Linked DNA regions of Ovis aries. The protein of the gene in region 1 interacts with the protein of each later gene in a biochemical or structural test. Links are inferred from orthologs where the notes say so. Each region holds a gene or a part of one and is shown in the gene's direction. Other genes may lie near its edges.

Region 1 (3,626 bases):
GAAGTGATGGGACCAGATGCCATGATCTTAGTTTTTTGAATGCTGAGCTTCAAGCCAACATTTTCACTCTCCTCTTTCACTTTCATCAAGAGGTGTTTTAGTTCCTCTTCACTTTCTGCCATAAGGGTGGTGTCATCTGCATATCTGAGGTTATTGATATTTCTCCCGGTAATCTTGATTCCAGCTTGTGCTTCTTCCAGCCCAGCGTTTCTCCTGATGTACTCTGCATATAAGTTAAATAAGCAGGGTGACAATATACAGCCTTGATGTACTCCTTTTCCTATTTGGAACCAGTCTGTTGTTCCATGTCCAGTTCTAACTGTTGCTTCCTGACCTGCATACAGGTTTCTCGAGAGGCAGATCAGGTGGTCTGGTATTCCCATCTCTTTCAGAATTTTCCACAGTTTATTGTGATCCACATAGTCAAAGGCTTTGGCATAGTCAATAAAGCAGAAATAGATGTTTTTCTGGAACTCTCTTGCTTTTTCCATGATCCAGTGGATGTTGGCAATTTGATCTCTGGTTCCTCTGCCTTTTCTAAAACCTACTCTTTTTAAAGTTCTTTTACCATATTGGGCACTACAGAGTGTTGAGTGGATAGTAGTGTGTATATGTCAATCCCAATTTCTCAATTTATCCTCTTCCCCTTTCCCCCAGTAACAGTATGTTTATTTTCTGTATCATTGGCTTCCCTGATGGCTTGGCAGTAATGAATCCGCTTGCAGTGCAGGAGACACAGGTTCAGTTCTTGGGTCGGGAAGATCCTCTAGAGGAGGGCATGGTAACCCACTCCAGTATTCTTACCAGGAAAATCCCGTGGACAGAGGAGCCTGGTGGGCTATGGTCTGTGGGGTTTCAAAGAGTCAGATACAATCACAGGACTGAACACACATGCACGCATTTCTGTCTTGTCAGTAAGTTCATTTGTACCATGTTCTTTCCATTCCACACATACGCAGTGTCATGTGGTATCAGTCCTTCTCTGTCTGACTGACTTCATTCAGGATGACAGTCTTCAGGGCCATTCATGTTGCTGCAAATGGCAGTGTTTCACTTTTTATGGCTGAGTAATATTCCAGTGTATATATTTACCACAGCTTCTTTATGCATTTGTCTGTCGACAGACATTTAGGTTGCTTCCTTGTCCTGGCTGTTGTAAATAGTGATACAGTATTCATCGGGGTGCATGCGTCTTTTTGAGTTGTGGGGTTTGTTTTTTTTTCAGGTTTATGCCCAGGAGTGGGATTGCTGGATCATATGAGAGCTCTGTTTTTAATTTTTGAAGGAACTTTTCCATACTGTTCTCCATAGTGGCTGTACCAGTTTGCATTTCCACCAACAGTGAGGGGCGGGGTCCCTTTTCTCCACATCCTCTTCAGCATTTATTGTTTGTAGATTTCTTGATAATGGCCATCTGGACCAGTGTGAGGTGATACCTCATTGTAGTTTTGATTTGCATCTCTCTGATAATAAGTAATGTTGAGCATCTTTTCATATGCCTCTTGGCCATCTGTATGTCTTCTTTGGAGAAATGTCTATTTAGATCTTCTACCCATTTTTTGATATGAATATATTTAATTAAGCTCCATGAGCTGTTTATATATTTTGAAGATTAAACCCTTTTCAGTCGCTTTGTTTCCAAACATTTTCTCCCATTCTGAGAGTTGTCTTTATTTTGTTTATGGTTCATTTGCCATGAAAAAAGCTTTTAAGTTTATTTATGTCCCATTTATTTTTGTCCTTATTGTCATTATTCTAGGAGACAGATCCAAAAATATGTTGCTACAATTCATGTCAGAAAGTATCTAGTCCTACAATTAGGTCTTTAATCCATTTTGAATTTATTTTTGTATATGGTATTAGAGAATGTTCTAACCTTCATTCTTTTTATGTAACTATCCAGTTGTCCCAGCACCACTTATTGAAACGGCTGTCTTTTCTCCATTGTATGTTCTTGCCTCCTGTGTTATAGATTACTTGACCATAAGTGTGTGGGTTTATTTCTGTGCTCTCTATTCTGTTGCATTGATTTATATATTCCTTTTTGTACCAGTACCATATTGTTTTGATTACCGTAGCTATGTATTATAGTCTGAAGTCAAGAAAGTGATTCCTCAAAAAAAAAAAAAAAACAGAAAGCGATTCCTCTAGCTCTCTTCTTCTTTCTCAAGATTGTTTTGGCTATTTGTGTTTTTTTCTGTTTCCATACAGATTTTACATTTTTTTTTGTTCTAGTTCTGTGAAAAATCCCTTGGCAGTTTGATAGGGATTGCATTGAATCTGTAGATTGCCTTGGGTAACATGGTCATTTTACCAATGTTAATTCTTCCAGCGCAATAACATGATATGTCTTTCCAGCTGATTGTGTAATCTTTAATTTCTTTCATTAGTGAACTATAGTTTTCCAAGTACAGGTCTTTTACCTTGTTAAGTAGGTTTATTTCTAGGTATTTTATTCTTTTTGATGCAGTGGTAAATAGGATTATTTCCTTAATTTAGTATATAGAAATACTACAAATTTCTGTAGATTTTTTTGTATCCTGCAACTTTAGCAAAATCATTGATGAACTCTAGGAATTTTCTGGTGATGTCTTTAGGATTTTCCGCATATAGTCACATCATCTGCAAACAGTGAGTTTTACTTCTTTCTTACCAATTTGTCTTCCTTTTATTTCTTTTTCTCATCTGATTGCTATAGCTAGGACTTCCAAAAGTATGTTGAATAAAAGTATTGAGAGTGGGCATTTTTGTCTTGCTCCTGATCTTAGAGGAAATGTTTACACTTTATCTTCTCTTAAATGTCAGGTTATAACAGCTCTGGACCTAATCCAAATACTTAGGATTACCAATTATAGGATTCTAATTGCCGGCAAAGAAAATGAGCAAGATTTGTTCACCTAGTTGCAAGTGAATCTTCGGTCACTCTGTTCCCTTAAAATATATACTGCTTTAGAATTTAGGAACAACAAATATTTCTCTTTTGTGTATACTAAACTTGAACTGATAGCCTCATGTAGTAGGAGTATTGTAAGAATTATCCCAGTTGCTATGAACAATATACAAAAAAAAAAAAAAAAAACTTTCACCATGACATTCAATGGACTTTACTTTTAGTAGCTACTCCACAGAATTGCATTTTCTGAGTTTAATATTTTTATTCTGTTGTAGTGATGGAAGTGATAGTGGTACTTTCTAAGTTATTGAATTACTTTGTATTTCCTGTCTTCCTTGTGCCCAACCCAAAGAATCCAGAAGAGATTACATGGTGTGGTTATTTGAAGTGCCATTTTGGAGACAGGTCAATTTCTATGACTGTTTTCAGGTTGAACTGCAAAAATTTGTTGGTATGCATAGTTTTGAGTTTTGAGTCAGAAAGTCCTTGACTTAGTAGTTAAGAATTTTAGTAAGTCTTAGTAGACCATATAGAGCAACCCACACTTTATATCTTATCAGATATACATTGGAGCCATCATTCCTCTGGGCGCAGCTGAGAAAGATGGTCGGCTCCGTGCAGCTGATGAGCTGATGTGCATTGATGGAATCCCTGTTAAAGGGAAATCACACAAACAAGTCCTAGACCTAATGACAGCCGCTGCTCGAAATGGCCACGTGTTATTAACTGTCAG
Region 2 (4,224 bases), on another chromosome or scaffold:
GCTCACCAGCTATGTGAGTGTGGACAGGCCACCACTGGTCTATGCGCCTCAGCTTCCTCACAAGGCATCTTACAATAACTCCCTGTCTAAATGAAGAAGCAGTGGACCCATGAATGTGCTGAGAAGTGGGTGGAAGGAAGGAGGCGGGTGGGCGCGGCAGTGCACAGAATCTCCAGGGAGGTTAGATTCTGAGTTGGGTTGCAAAGTCAGCGGACCACCATTCTGGGAGTGTGGTCCACCCTGGGTGCTCAGGGTTCCTGGTGAGGGGTTGCTCCTGGCGCTGCAGGAGGAGGATCTGCGGGGTAGTTACATTTTTTTACTCGCCTTTCGGCTCTGGTGGAAGGAAGGAAGACATTGAAGTCAAAAGTTCTGTCCATCTGGAAGAGCCGCTGGAGGGGAAAGTCTTTAGGGGCTGGAGAAGTCGGGAGCTGCTTCCCAATGCTTGGGGGCGGGATGGGGAGCTAGGGAGCCAAGGTGGATGGGGGCCAGGAGGTCTGGCGGGGCGGCTGACCCTACCCTGAGCGCTCGGCCGAGAGGGGGCGCTGTGGCCTACTCCTCGCCCAGTCCACTGGATTCCCAGCCGCTATCCCCTGCAGCGCAATGCGCGCTCGGCTTTCCCCCTCCTCCGCGGTCAGAGGGCGGCTAGTCCTGCCCGGCACCGCCATCTCGCCTGCTCTTGGGGTTCCTAGGTTCACCTCCTTGCCGGGACCAAACTGGGCAGGCGCTTAGTTAGTAGAATGAATTTACAAACGAATGAATGAATGAGAAGGGTTCCTCCCTCAGAGCTGTCACACCTCAGCGCGCTCCTGGCGTGTCAGTGCCAAAGGCGCGGGGATCTGGCCCTCGCCCCGCTGAGGTGGGGGCGGCGGGGACTTTCTCCCCGCCCCGCGGCAGGGAGAGAACTGCCCGAACGCAGCGCCCAGCTTCACCCGGCTTCCGCGGCGGCACTGCTCAGTCCGGGCTGCCCTATTCCCCAGCCTCCAATCGCTTCTCTCTTGTAGATTGACCTGGGCCCCCCCAGGACCCCCTCAGACTCTCCTGGACTCCTCGGGCCCCAACCTGAAAGCCGGCGGAAGGAGGGAAGCTGCCTCCTCTCCCCCCCCCCCCCCCCACCTCCCCAGCTTCTCCCCGGGCTGCGGCGGCCGCCAGCGCTGCCAGTGCGCCCCGCCGATTGCCGCAAACCCGGCTCGAGGAAAGGGGGTCAGCGCCGTTAGGGCGCGGGGAGCCGCCCCCGGAACGAGCCGGGGCGGAGGAGGCGGGCCGGGGGAGGGAGCGGAGGGGCGAGGCGCTGAGGCGGGAGCGGAGGGGAGGGCAGAGGAAAGGAGGGGAGGGGACGCCCAGGCGAGGGGGCGGGGAGCCGCGGCGAGTGTCGGCGCGGACCGAGGGGGAGACGGCGGGGGCGAGGCTGGCTCCCGGCGGGCGAGAGGCGGCCGCGGGCCGGGCTGAGTCCGGAAGCGGCGGCTGGACTTGCCCGGGAAGAGGAGAGCGAGAGCCCTCCGGGCCGGGCTGCGGGGCCGGGGAGCGCGGAGCCGGGCACCTCCGCCACCGGCGGCGACACAGAAGCCGCCCGAGCCCGCCCCCGCCGGGATGTCCCGGGGACCCAGGCTTCCAGCGCGGTGACCGAGCGAGCCCGAGGATGGGACGGCGCCCGCAGCTCCGGCTTGTCAAGGTAAGAGCGAGCCAGTCCGCCCTCGAGCACCGGGGGCCCCCAGTTCCGGGCGCAGTGGGCAGTGGGTGTGAAGCGGACGGTGTGATTGGGTGTCACTGAGCAGAACTGTGCCCAGGTCCGGGGGCGGCCGGGGTGTGAGGGGCAGGCCAGCTCCCTCTTCTTGGACCTCTGGAGCCGGCGTTGAGCGGTAAGGGGAGAACTCAGGTGAAAAAAAAAAAGAAAAAAGAAATCATTGTGGCGAAGCTTCGGGAATGTTGGCTGGTGTTGGGGGGTGGGAGTCGGGGGGGTCCGCCCACCCCGGCAACCAGCTCTGCGAGGGAAATCGCTCTAGGCTTTGGGAACCGACTCAGGGTTCCTCTTCCCACCCGTCCCGTGTAGACCGGGGTCCCGGGACAGGAAGCTCGGGAGGGGACAGAGGGTTCCCCATCTGCCCCAGCGCGCCCCCGCCCTGTTCCTGGGAGCTCCTTCCTGCCCCTGAAAGTCCGGGGAGATAAATGTCCCCCGCGCCTGCGAGCCCTGGATCAATATCGCAATCTCCGGAGAGCCAACCGAGCATCCGGCGGTAGTTACCGTTCCGCCGCCGCCGTCGCCGCCGCCGCCGGCCCGCCGGCGGGATCGCAGCGCTCGCTCTCCGGTCCTTTGCACTCGCGGTTTCCTGTGCCTGCCCGCTCCTGTCTGGGTTCTGGCGACGCGATTCCTGCGCCCGGAGTTTAGGAAGGTCTCCAGATCTCACGTCCGGACAGATCTCACGTCTGTCCACTGAAGTTCGGGGGTGACGAGGGCTCCCCCTGGGCCCCGGGGAAGGTCTTGAGGGTCGACACCCCGGCCTGCAGCTAGTGACAGCCGCCACTTGCAGGTGCCAGGCGATTCCCAAAGCGGTTCGCCTTGCGGGGGTAGGCGCGCAAGCAGCAGCCGGAGAGAGGGGTGGGTGGGCCTCGGCGGGCTCTCGCCTGAGGATCCCGACTCCGCAGGGTCAGAGTGGACAGCGTGAGCAGACAGCGGCTTGATGGGATTCAGCGCATTTAAAAAGCGATTACACTCAAAAGAATGGATTTGGGGGAGGGGTGCGGATTGACTGATTTCCATTTTTCCATCAGTTATTAAACCAGCTGTACGTATGTAGCACACAAAGTGATTTGAGTTAAACCACCAAGGTTTAAAAATGCAACTGCTGCCTGGTCATCAATTGAGACGTTGTTAATTACCTAGGTTTCCTCTATTCTCTTTGTCCCTCTCCCGAATAGTTATGTTAGTTTTTTTAAAAGTGAGTAAAGGTTGGTCTGATTAAACCCATATCCCCTCCCCCACGCCTTAACTGGGATTAGGGGTGAACCCATAATTTATTTTGGGTGATCAGGGAGACCCAGGGAGGGAAGCTGGGGGAAAAACATCCAGAGAGCTTGAATAGATGGCACTGAATGGGAATATTTTCCCAAAGGCTAGTGTGTACCAAACCTGGGTCTAAATTTACAAAACAGAAAAAATTCAACGTTTCAAACAGATTCGAAGGATTGAACTGTAGGTTTTTGTTTTTAAGTTTACATGGTAATAGGTAAATGTTCTTTCTCTGGACTTTGTTTGAATCGTGTGCAGATTTCTGCTTAGAATTATGCTTTTCTAAAAGAAAAAAAATTTCTCTTATTGTTGTCGTTGCGTGTTTGTGTGTGTGTATGCTTCCTGCTAGGTCGTCGGATGTGTGTCCTTTATGTCTGGCCTAATGAGCTCAGTAGGTGCTCAGTAAAGGCACTGAATGAGTAAGATGCAGTGAATGAATGGTCAGCTAATGCAGTTTCATTTAAATAATTACTTTCTTCTTTTATTTATATGGCATATACAACTTGTTGGGTAGTATTCTACCTGCTTTACGAATATTAAGTCATACTGTCCTCCTAACAGCTCCGGGAAGGTGAAATTATTCCTGAGCACAGAGAGGCTCTGTAACTTGCTCAAGGTCATGCAGCCAGTGAATGGTGGAGCCAGAATTCAAACTCAGGCACTTGAACTCTAAGACTTTCTTTTGTTAGCTTTTACCAGAAAATATTTGAAGCTGCTAAAACCTCCTTGACTTCTGCCAGATGGGAGATAACTCAGGCAGTTTTGTCAGTATGAACTTCTGAACCTAGGTGAGTGGTGGTGGGTGCTGATTTAGTCACTACGTTGTGTCTGACTCTTGTAACCCCGTGGACTGTACCCCGCCAAGCTCCTCTGTCCATGGGATTTCCCAGGCAAGAAATACTGGAGTGTGTTGCCGCTTCCATCCCCAGGGGATCTTCCTGACCCAGGGATCGAACCCACGTCTCCTGCATTGGCAGGCAGATTCTTTACCGCTGAGCCACCAGGGAAACCCGAATCTAGGTGGGTTTCATCCAATATGTGGCTCTGACCCTCAACAAGTCAGCCAGTATCAGGAAAGGTGGGAAGGATCCGCTCTGGGGCCCCTGTTGTGGGCATCACACTGAACTGATTACAGAGAACTGGGGGAGAGTGTGTGCACGTGTGCGTGAGTGAGAATGTGTGTGTGCATGGGAGGGGCCTTGTATATGTCAGTGAAGGAA
Region 3 (4,388 bases), on another chromosome or scaffold:
CTGAGTTGAGGACCAGTACTGTGGTGGAATTAGACAAGGGGCTTGCACACCTTTGGCTACATTGTGTGTTGATGGGCCACCTTCCTGTAGGTACCTCCCCACATATAGTCACACCACTGCAGAGCTAATGACTCACTAATTTTAAACCCATTCAGTTGCCAACCCAACAGCCTTTGATATAACTTTACATGCTATTGGATTTTAATCTTTTTGAGTATTTATATATGTTTTCTTCTCTCATCCCTCCAAAATTAATCCTAGAGTTTTGAGAATCTGGGAACTTGGGCAAAGGAGAAGGCAACGCAGCAGACCAAGAAATTTGAAATCTCAGTTCACTACTGTGTCACCCAAAGCCAATGTACCTTTTTTGTTTGCACTGACCCAGCTCAAGTCATACAATCACGTGAGTAACAGAACACAAAATCCAGGTGTTATTACTGAACATGAAAAGTCTGAAAAGTAATTAAACGTGTTCTAGCTTCCGTGGCGGTGTCATTTACTCTAACATGCCTGTCCTTAAGCCTCTCTCTCTCTTTACATTACCGGCACACACCGTTGCACCATACTCACACATCCATCAGCTGGGACCTGGGAGTGTGTATTTTTCCAACTGGTCCTCAGCATTAGCTGTCAGCTGCACAAACCTTCCTTTGCTTTCTGCATCTGCTGCCCTGGAACGACAGAAGCTTCTTGCAAGAATAGCTCCCGGGGAGCGTTCCTGACAGATGCGCGCTCTGCTTTAGCAAGGCGCTCGCTGGAAAGTTTCTTCTAACCGCTCACACCCGCCTCCGATCCGATCCCCGAGCTGGCAGGACGCGAGCTGGCTGGGACTCCTCTTGACAGAGGAAGGGCTTTACACACACCCTCCTAGGCTGCCCAATACAAGAAACAGTCTTGCAGCCAGACTCCTCCACCCCCAGCGAACAGACCGTCCAAGGCGCTCCGGTGTTTCGAGAACACCGAAGTCCCCTTCCTGCTAAAGGGCGCGTGAGCTCTGCTCTGCAGGAAACCTGGGCACTGGAGGTAGATGGGATGGGTGGCGGCGGGTAGAGCCGGGGCGCAGCGGAAAGCAAACGCCGGAGGCAAACAGGGCGCAGGAGAGGGGAGATTGGGGGCCGCGGGAGGGGGCAGGGTGGAAGCCGGGCGCGACTGGGAACCGAGGGGAACTGGGCACTGGAGCCAAGCGGGCTCTGGAAGGGACGCGCGGGCAGGAACCCGCGAGCGCTGGGGAGGGGCTTGCTTGGCGATCTGCCCCGGACTCCCTAGAGCCGCAGAACCGCCGGTGGAGGCGGGGTGCTAGGAGTTGGCGGGGCCGGGTGGGGGTGGGGGGGAACCAGAGAGGGGCGTGCCTTCGCCAGGATTGGCTGCAGGAGCCTGACGCGAGGCCCCGGGGGTTGGCTCGGGGGAGTGGGAGCCGGGTGGGGTGGGTGCTGGGTGCCGGGGCTGCGGGCTCCGCGAGCTCAGAAACATGCTGAGGTCCCGGCAGCTGTTCCAGCAGCGACAGCGGCTCCAGCAGCAGCGGCGGCGGCGGCGGCGGCGACAGCGCACGGCTCCGGCGGGGAAGGCGCCCGGCGCCCATGCCTCCGGCCCCGCGCCGCGGCTGCGCTGACCTGGCCGCGACCTCCCTCCGCGCGCCCCGCCGTTCGGGCCTCTGGGGGGGTTCCCCAACCGCGGCCCAACTCCGCCACACCCCTCTCCCCCGGCCTCCGCAGCTCGGCATGGGCGCGGGGGCGCTCGCCCTGGGCGCCTCCGAGCCCTGCAACCTGTCATCGGCCGCGCCGGTCCCCGACGGCGCGGCCACGGCGGCGCGGCTGCTAGTTCCCGCGTCGCCGCCCGCCTCGCTGCTGACCTCGGCCAGCGAGGGACCCCCGCTGCTGTCGCAGCAGTGGACGGTCGGCATGGGCCTGCTGATGGCATTCATTGTGCTGCTCATCGTGGCGGGCAACGTGCTGGTGATCGTGGCCATCGCCAAGACTCCGCGGCTGCAGACGCTCACCAACCTCTTCATCATGTCGCTGGCCAGCGCAGACCTGGTCATGGGTCTGCTGGTAGTGCCGTTTGGAGCCACAATCGTGGTGTGGGGCCGCTGGGAGTATGGCTCCTTCTTCTGCGAGCTCTGGACCTCGGTGGACGTGCTGTGCGTGACGGCCAGCATCGAGACCCTGTGTGTCATCGCCCTGGACCGCTACCTCGCCATCACGTCGCCCTTCCGCTACCAGAGCCTGCTGACCCGCGCGCGGGCGCGGGCCCTCGTGTGCACCGTGTGGGCCATCTCGGCGCTGGTGTCCTTCCTGCCCATCTTCATGCAGTGGTGGCGGGACAAGGACGCCAAGGCGAGCCGGTGCTACAACGACCCCGAGTGCTGCGACTTCATCATCAACGAGGGCTACGCGATCACCTCTTCCGTCGTCTCCTTCTACGTGCCCCTGTGCATCATGGCCTTCGTGTACCTGCGGGTGTTCCGCGAGGCCCAGAAGCAGGTGAAGAAGATCGACAGCTGCGAGCGCCGCTTCCTCAGCGGCCCCGCGCGGCTGCCCTCGCCCGCGCCCTCGCCCGGGCCGCCGCTCCCTGCCGCCGCGGTGGCCAACGGGCGCGCCAACAAGCGGCGGCCCTCGCGCCTCGTGGCCCTGCGCGAGCAGAAGGCCCTCAAGACGCTGGGCATCATCATGGGCGTGTTCACGCTCTGCTGGCTGCCCTTCTTCCTGGCCAACGTGGTGAAGGCCTTCCACCGCGACCTGGTGCCCGACCGCCTCTTCGTCTTCTTCAACTGGCTGGGCTACGCCAACTCGGCCTTCAACCCCATCATCTACTGCCGCAGCCCCGACTTCCGCAAGGCCTTCCAGCGCCTGCTCTGCTGCGCGCGCCGGGCCGCCTGCGGGAGCCACGGGGCCGCCGGGGACCCGCCGCGCGCCGCGGGCTGCCTGGCGGTGGCCCGGCCGTCGCCGTCTCCCGGGGCCGCCTCGGACGACGACGACGACGACGACGAAGACGACGTCGGGGCCGCGCCGCCCGTGCGCCTGCTGCAGCCCTGGGCTGGCTACAACGGCGGGGCGGCGGCGAACAGCGACTCGAGCCCGGACGAGCCAAGCCGCCCGGGCTGCGCCTCGGAATCCAAGGTGTAGGGCCGGGCGCCCCTCCCCGCCTTCCCCGGCTTCCCCAGTCCGGGCGCGGGCTGTGCGCTCCAGGAGCAAGAGAACCCGGGCGCCCCTGAACCGCTTCCCCGGGAAAGAGGTCTGTGTTTACTCGAGACCGAAAGCAGGTGAACTCGAAGCCTGCGAACCTCGTCTGCATCATCCAAGGGCAAATAGGAAAGCCACGGACCGTCGCACAGAAAGGAAAGTTTGGGGAGAGGTGGGAGAAGTTTGGGGAGGGGTGGAAGAGTGGCTTACTGATTGTTCTTGGGGTTCTTTTTCCTGTTTCTGGTCCAGCCTTCTGTGTGTGCGTGTGATGCATCTTTAGAGTCCCTCCTCCCCCCGCCCCCCCGCCACGTGGCTTTTAACACTTTCTGCGATGACTGGGAAGGGAAGGGGGAAGCGTTAGGAGGTAAAAGTCTCTCGACTTAGTTTCCATCCCATTCCTGGGAACAGAAGCGGTCAGCCAGAGAGAGAGGAGAGAGAATGACACTTTATCAGGACGTTGTTTCCTTTTGCTTTTCAGAGAAATTCCATTTTAATTTCTGAGGAATTATTTCTCCTGTTCTGAAAGCCGAGGGCAAGGATGGATGCAAAAATCGCGTTTCAGGAAGTTTTATGCTCTTCTTGGAACAAGCCTCACCTTGCTTCCCTTTCGGAGGGCAAGCGGGCTGTCCCTGAACGCCTCCTCGGTGGTCAGGCTGAGGGGTTCCTACCTCACTCACACGGTGCACATTGCACGGCCAGATAGAGAGACTTGTTTATATTAAACAGCTTATTTATGTATCAATACTAGTTGGAAGGACCAGGCGCTGAGCCTTCGTGACATGTGACTCTGTCCATTGAAGACAGGACAGAAAAAGGAAAAAGAAAAAAGGAAAACAATTCAGATTACTGCACATGTGGTATAGACAAAAAATCAAAACAAAAAAGCCGTGATTCAAAGTGGCATTTTTTTTGCACAGTATTAGGAACTGTAAAGTCCACAGAAAATGTTATTTGCACAAAAAGAAATGAAATATTTTTTAATGGGAGTGGGGTGGGGCAGATCTTAAAAACTAAAATAAAATTCAGATTCTATCTCTGTTGTCTGTTATGTTATTGAGCTAGCAATTTATTGGAAAATACCTTTTTATACTCTTTTATCATGGTACTGTATCCATATTATAAAAAATTATCTTAAGGATTTTTTTTATTATTTTTTTATGTCCAAGGGCACACGTGAATCTGCTGGTGAAATTTAGCACTTGTGTGTAA

The links.
Region 2: the proteins of MAGI3 (region 1) and CRHR1 form a complex in vitro, tested with the Homo sapiens proteins (2 studies listed by BioGRID and IntAct, with this or other methods). The link is inferred for Ovis aries from reciprocal best matches to the Homo sapiens genes MAGI3 and CRHR1.
Region 3: the proteins of MAGI3 (region 1) and ADRB1 interact in a test that uses a peptide from one of them, tested with the Homo sapiens proteins (2 studies listed by IntAct, with this or other methods). The link is inferred for Ovis aries from reciprocal best matches to the Homo sapiens genes MAGI3 and ADRB1.

What each region holds. Positions count from the first base shown.
Region 1 is NC_056054.1:90,959,751-90,963,376, forward strand, and holds part of MAGI3 (membrane-associated guanylate kinase, WW and PDZ domain-containing protein 3), read left to right. Parts: intron 1-3,453; coding exon 3,454-3,626.
Region 2 is NC_056064.1:45,528,591-45,532,814, forward strand, and holds the start of CRHR1 (corticotropin-releasing factor receptor 1), read left to right. Parts: upstream 1-1,365; 5' UTR 1,366-1,636; coding exon 1,637-1,669; intron 1,670-4,224.
Region 3 is NC_056075.1:34,061,209-34,065,596, forward strand, and holds ADRB1 (beta-1 adrenergic receptor), read left to right. Parts: upstream 1-1,462; 5' UTR 1,463-1,577; coding exon 1,578-3,122; 3' UTR 3,123-4,211; downstream 4,212-4,388. UniProt on the Homo sapiens protein: Beta-adrenergic receptors mediate the catecholamine-induced activation of adenylate cyclase through the action of G proteins. This receptor binds epinephrine and norepinephrine with approximately equal affinity.